Linked DNA regions of Xenopus tropicalis. Each later gene encodes a partner of the first gene's protein in a complex. Links are inferred from orthologs where the notes say so. Each region holds a gene or a part of one and is shown in the gene's direction. Other genes may lie near its edges.

The links.
Region 2: the proteins of oprk1 (region 1) and pdyn are in contact, whole or in part, in a cryo-EM structure (PDB 8F7W), measured with the Homo sapiens proteins. The link is inferred for Xenopus tropicalis from reciprocal best matches to the Homo sapiens genes OPRK1 and PDYN. Residues at the interface, in NP_000903.2 of Homo sapiens: Thr111, Gln115, Trp124, Val134, Ile135, Asp138, Tyr139, Met142, Lys200, Glu209, Cys210, Asp216, Tyr219, Lys227, Val230, Phe293, Ile294, Glu297, His304, Ala308, Leu309, Tyr312, Tyr313, Ile316, Tyr320; in NP_001177821.1 of Homo sapiens: Tyr207, Gly208, Gly209, Phe210, Leu211, Arg212, Arg213, Ile214.

Annotation. Positions count from the first base shown.
Region 1 is NC_030682.2:114,704,932-114,708,767, reverse strand, and holds part of oprk1 (kappa-type opioid receptor), read left to right. Parts: intron 1-3,215; coding exon 3,216-3,568; intron 3,569-3,836. UniProt on the Homo sapiens protein: G-protein coupled opioid receptor that functions as a receptor for endogenous alpha-neoendorphins and dynorphins, but has low affinity for beta-endorphins.
Region 2 is NC_030686.2:846,433-849,784, reverse strand, and holds pdyn (proenkephalin-B), read left to right. Parts: upstream 1-1,321; 5' UTR 1,322-1,370; coding exon 1,371-2,069; 3' UTR 2,070-2,825; downstream 2,826-3,352.

The DNA of each region.
Region 1 (3,836 bases):
TCCAGAAACCAATATCCATACTCTTCTCTCATTCTATAAGTCTTGAATAAACAAAGATCCACATTACTTGTATAACTCTCCTGATAAAGAAATTCTGAATGCTGTTCCATCTGACACTGCAGAAATAGAATGAATGTGGTTTGCTCTATTAATGTAGACATACTGATACAGTAGCAAAGACCTCCCTGGAAATTTCCGTTATTGCCATCTATGTAGTGCCAAATGAACAAATGATTAGCTAATCATGTCAGATGATAAAAATGCTGTTCACGCTACTATTTTTCTGTTTTTGCCTGTATCTCACATTGTGTTAGTGACATTGTTACTCTGTTCATGTATCTCTTTCCCTGTCAGTTACAATAAATTACTCTTTTACATGTCAGATGAGCCTACCTTGGACTAAAGAGCAGTACCTGCTAGAAATATTAATCATTTTTGCTTTTATCAGTAATTGGCTTGGAAATGGTGTCTTCATCTTGCAAGGAAAAATAAAGCAGTAATGAAAAAATTAATAATGATGAGTTTAATCATTTTAGAAAATGTTAACAGCACCAAATGATTTATTTTCTAAGAAGTAGTAGAAACCATCAAATTGGTTGTTCTTTATTTTTATTTTTGTTTTTTAAAAAAAATACCACAGCTTTGTGGGGGGTATTTTTTCACAATTTATATTTTTTTGCACAAAATCCTTTTTTCGACAGAAAAAAACTTGATTTATTATGCATCAAAACTGCAACAAATCTGAAAGTAAAAATGAAAAAAAATATCTAAAAGCTGTTGAGGTTATATAAAAGTCAAATCTATCTGACGCAAATCATCTTCTAGCATGCAGGGCTTAAATTATGTATGTACTGTATAGATTGTGTGTATATTTTTATTTCAGTAGTGCTACTTATGTACGCAGTAATGTATAGCAGAACAATAAATTAATAGGACAAACGCGTCATTACAGTAATTAATACAAATAAATACACAGTACAGATACATAAAAGATCCTAAGTGTCAAAGAAACAAGAGGAAGTGCTGCAGAGCTTACAATCTAAGTGGGAGGGTAACAGACACAATAGGAGCATATTAAGTAACAGAATAATAGAATTTTTTGGAGACTGCAGATTTAAATTTTTTTCTTTTAATGTTCACCTATTTATTAAACTACAATATAAATTTAGTTTAAACAAAAATTCTATGCAATTTTGACTTGTCATAATTATAAAGTACTTTGACCAAAATTATTGTTGAAATTTGTTTGCCAGCTCAGGCCAGAACAAAATCTGATTATTTCCAATGGAAGATTGAAGAATACATTTTAGACAAAATGAGAGAAGAAATCCACAATATTGTACTGTTCTCCCTAATATTTTACCCTGTCTTAGTGAACTATATCATGTAATCCTTTTGCAACAAACTGTTCCAGGTACATGGTCTACCAACAGGTCATAGTTGCACATCACTACGAAGCATGGCCAGTAATGAAAGGACTAAAGATGACTGCGAGCAACAGATGCAATTCCCAGATGTTTTTCTATACATTGTAGCAAGAACATAAAACTAGATCTCACATACTGTGTGCTTCCTAGTGACCCATTATTATTAAGACAAATTTAGTATTCTTTTTTCACTATTAGGCATCATTTTAAACTTGTTGGAAGTACTTGACTAGATTGCAGCAAGAACTAAAATATCCAATTAACTGAAACTGATACAGTGTATATAAATATGATGCAACCATGTGGTTGACAATTGTTCATTTCTCAACCCAACTTCCTTACAGTACATAACACTGCTACACCACCATGGACTGTGCGGTCAGTGGCACACTGAGCTTTTCTTTATGCTCTGTGCAAATGATTTGTATGTTTGGGGTTTACTCATCCCCATAAATGAATTATTTCCTAGTTCCTGTTATACTGGCAAACATAAGAGCACTGTAATTAGTTAAGAGAAGGGATTCAATTAATCTTGTGCTTCTGGCAGTGGCACTGCTAATCATATCTACATTTGATTAATAATTATTTCACATGGCCACAATGCAATGTCCATGGTTAAGTTTCTGTCTCTTCTTCCATTTGTACTATTGCTTCTAATACTATCTGCCAGTCTTATTCATGGAATCCCCTATCATGGCATACTGTGTCATTGCACTTACTCCAAAGATGCCCTTGCTTAATTGTATGAAGGTCAGAGTTTGAGTACATAAAATGAATTCACAATGTCTCCCACTGTAACAGAGCATTATCATAGGTTTCATAAATATATTTCCCTTCTCTACTCTCCCCTTTTATTTCTAATCCCCAACATTTATGTGCCACCCTCCATCTGGCAGATCCCCGCCCCCTTACCTTTCTCCCCTACTCTGTTGGAGTGCTCCAGTGCTTAGTCTGCAACTCTGCTTTTCTCACTCTGCCATATATCTATGGAAACTAAGTTTTTGGGTTCCAGTACTTTATCTATGCAGATAAAACCCAGTCCTAAAGTGCTGATCTCCTTATAGTCACAGAACTACTGAATTTGGGTATACACATTCAGATGAAATTGGCAAATGTGGTCTTCTTTTTTGTTTCTTTAACCAAAGTAATTGTAAACCGCTAGTGTGTTTAAATGAATGAATTCCACTTGGTATCCGCACAAGGAAATGCTGTTGTCCACACACTAAAGGAGTTGTTCACCTTTTGAGTTAACTTTTAGTATGATGTAGAGAGTAATATTCTGAGACAGTTTGCAATTGATCTTCATTTTTTATTATTTGTAGATTTTGAATGATTTCAGTGTTTGTTCAGCAACTGGAATATGAATAGGAGAGGCCTCACAGAGCAATGGCTTTCTGGCTGCTGGGGCCAGTGACCCCCATTTGAAAGCTACAAGGAGTTAGAAGAATAATTAGTAAAAAAATAATTTTAAAACGTTAAAAAAAAATAAATAATGAAGACTAATTGAAAAGTTGCTTTGAATTGACCATTCTATAACATACTAACATACTTTTTTTAAGGTAAAACCTTTTGGCTGATTAGATAGATTAGATAGAATTCTAATGTAATATTATAATTTAATAAAAGCATCGTTTGGGGTGTTTACTTAGATTCTATGTTTATATTCGAATGTGTTATTCTAGCAATATAAAGGCCTTTTCTACCAGAAAAGAATTATTGTAAAGGTTTTTCATTTAAATGGAGCAACATACTTTCTTCTTATTATTATATTTTTTTGTATTCCAACAGATATACAAAAATGAAGACTGCCACCAACATTTATATATTTAACCTGGCGCTAGCCGATGCCCTAGTTACCACTACAATGCCCTTTCAAAGCACTTCATTTTTAATGAATTCTTGGCCATTTGGAGATGTCCTCTGTAAAATTGTGGTTTCTATCGACTACTATAATATGTTTACCAGCATATTCACTTTAACCATGATGAGCGTTGATAGATATATTGCTGTTTGCCATCCTGTAAAGGCCCTGGATTTCCGTACACCTCTTAAAGCAAAATGCATCAATATATGTATATGGATGTTATCATCCTCTGTTGGAATATCTGCTATTGTACTTGGAGGGACTAAAATTAGTGATGGTAAGTACACAGATAATAAACTGCAAATTACAGTGATTTTGCTTGCAACGTGTAGCATTTGGGCATCAGATCAGGGTGGAACTGCCACTGCCATAAAGACATCTTAATGTTTTCTCTTTGGGCACCCAGATGAAGTTCAGGATTTAAACAAATTAATTTAGAATCCATTATGTACTTTGTTTTAATTTTATTGTATAGAGAAATATTGCTGTATTAAAGAAAACACTCCCAACAGCATGGGGGCCCAATTTGTGTCCTGATCAGCAGG
Region 2 (3,352 bases), on another chromosome or scaffold:
CCCCTCCCCCACCAAATACACCAGCCTCTACATCCCCTCCCCACCAAATACACCAGCCTTTACATCCCCCTCCCCACCAAATACATCAGCCTCTACATCCCCCTCCCCACCAAATTCACCAGCCTCTACATCCCCCCTCCCCACCCAAATACATTAGCCTCTACATCCCCTCCCCACCAAATACATCAGCCTCTACATCCCCCTCCCCACCTACATCCTCTTCCCACCAAATACATCAGCTCTACTCCCCTCCCCACCAAATACATCAGCCTCTACATCCCCCTCCCCACCAAATACACCAGCCTCTACATCCCCCTCCCCACCAAATACACCAGCCTCTACATCCCCCTCCCCACCTACTCAGCCTCTACATCCTCCTCTCAAACAATACACCAGCCTCTAATCCCCTCCCCACCAAATACACCCAGCCTCTACATCCTCCTCTCCACCAAATACACCAGCCTCTACATCCCCCTCCCCACCAAATACCACTAGCCTCTACATCCCCTCCCCACCAAATACCACCAGCCTCTACATACCCTCCCACCAAATTACATCAGCCTCTACATCCCCTCCCCACCAAATACACCAGCCTCTACATCCCCTCCCCACCTACATCAGCCTCTACATCCCTCTCCCACCAAATACATCAGCCTCTACATCCCCCTCCCCACCAAAATACATCAGCCTCTACATCCCCTCCCCACCAAATACATCAGCCTCTACATCCCCCTCCCAACCAAATACACCAGCCTCTACATCCCCCTCCCCACCAAATACACCAGCCTCTACATCCCCCTCCCCACCTACATCAGCCTCTACATCCTCCTCTCCAACAAATACACCAGCCTCTACATCCCCCTCCCCACCAAATACACCAGCCTCTACATCCCCCTCCCCACCTACAATCAGCCTCTACATCCTCCTCTCCAACAATACACCAGCCCTCTACATCCCCTCCCCACCAAATACACCAGCCTCTACATCCCCCTCCCCACCAAATACATCAGCCTCTACATCCTCCTCTCCACCAAATACACCAGCCTCTACATCCCCCTCCCACCAAATACACCAGCCTCTACATCCCCCTCCCCACCAATACACCAGCCTCTACATCCCCTCCCCACCAAATACACCAGCCTCTACATCCTCCTCTCCACCTACATCAGCCTCTACATCCTCCTCTCCACCAAATACACCAGCCTCTACATCCCCCTCCCCACCAAATACACTAGCCTCTACATCCCCCTCCCGACCAAATACACCAGCCTCTACATCCCCCTCCCCACCAAATACACCAGCCTCTACATCCCCCTCCCCACCAAATACACCAGCCTTTACACAGAACTTGCTGATTAACTTTTGCCCCCATGCAGGTATGTTCCTTGCAGTGTGAGGGGTCTCTACTTCCTGATGATGAATGGGAGAGGTGTGGCCAACTCTTATCTTCTCAAGAAGAGGTCCTAGAAGTGAAGAGGGAGCAAGAACTGGTGCCGCCAATGTTGGACTCCCAAGACATGCTGGTAAAGCGCTACGGGGGATTCATACGGAAGCCCGATAAGAACAAATTCCTTAATGCTAAGCGTGAGAACTTTAGCAAAAGGTACGGGGGGTTCCTGCGCAAATATACCCTGCGAGACCTCCCGGATGTCTCTTCCAATCCAGAGGCAAAGCTGGAGTCTCCAGATGCTGAGGAGCTGGGCTGGTTCAGTCCCACCTGGGGCACTAAGGACGAAAGGAAAAGATATGGGGGGTTTCTGCGGAAATACCCCAAGAGGATTCTAAGCCAAGAAGGGGATTTCGAGAGAAGAAGGAGGCTACAGGAGGGGCTGGAGGCGGGGCAAGCCATAGTCACGGGGCAGGAGATAGAGACAGGGCAAGAGCTGGACCTAGAACGTGGCACTGCAGAGCTAGAGAAGCGATACGGAGGGTTCTTGCGCAGAATCCGCCCCAAACTAAGGTGGGACAATCAGAAACGGTACGGGGGGTTTCTACGGCGCCAGTTCAAGGTCAATGCAAGGTCAGAAGAGGACCCCACCATGTTCTCAGGGGAGCTCTCCTACCTATAGAACGGAGGTGGCTGCTGGGGGCGAGAAGGGATGGACATGGCAGAACCCACTCAACTTGTCTTCTTCATGTACCAACAACTCTAATGCCTACCCCCCTAACCATCCTCCAACCATACCCCCCCAAGAACACCAACTGCCCTTCAGCCCATCCCCTCATGAACACCAACTGCCCTTCAGCCCATCCCCTCATGAACACCAACTGCCCTTCAGCCCATCCCCTCATGAACACCAACTGCCCTTCAGCCCATCCCCTCATGAACACCAACTGCCCTTCAGCCCATCCCCTCATGAACACCAACTGCCCTTCAGCCCATCCCCTCATGAACACCAACCACCCTCCAGTCAATCCCCCCATGATGTACTTACCCCGCTCACACAACCCGACGCTACTGGACACTACTCAAGCTCCATTCCTGGTTTTCTGAAGGCCCCAAGAACCTCAGGAGCATGTATATGTGCAAGTTACCCATGCGCCCCCTATGGACACCGTCATGATGGTTCCCCCTCTCTCCCTTACTGCCCCATGTGAGGGGCAGAATAGTTACCATGCTGCTAACTAAACACAAGTCTCAGCCCATGTGACCTCCCAGCTTTGTGTGGAACACGGTTCCACCTCGCCGCCCCCCCACAGCCAATACCCACGGCAAATACCCACGGCAAATACCCACGGCAAATACCCACGGCGTCCCACAGACTTCAATGCCTCTTGTAAAATACGATTGTACAAATAAATTCACTTTATGTCCTAAAAGCAAACGGAAGTGGCTTTTTGTGATCTGTACGTGGGGCAAATAGAATGCTGCCCCCCAGTGGTGGAGCCTTACTGGGCAGTAGTACAACTCCTTGTGGTACTTATGGGGCATTACAGGTACACTAACCCTATAGATCTCTGTGGGGCAAATAGAATGCTGCCCCCCAGTGGTGGAGCCTTACTGGGCAGTAGTACAACTCCTTGTGGTACTTATGGGGCATTACAGGTACACTAACCCTATAGATCTCTGTGGGGCAAATAGAATGCTGCCCCCCAGTGGTGGAGCCTTACTGGGCAGTAGTACAACTCCTTGTGGTACTTATGGGGCATTACAGGTACACTAACCCTATAGATCTCTGTGGGGCAAATAGAATGCTGCCCCCCAGTGGTGGAGCCTTACTGGGAAGTAGTACAACCCCTTGTGGTACTTATGGGGCATTACAGCTACACTAACCCTATAGATCTCTGTGGGGCAAATAGAATGCTGCCCCCCAGTGGTGGAGCCTTACTGGGCAGTAGTACAACCCCTTGT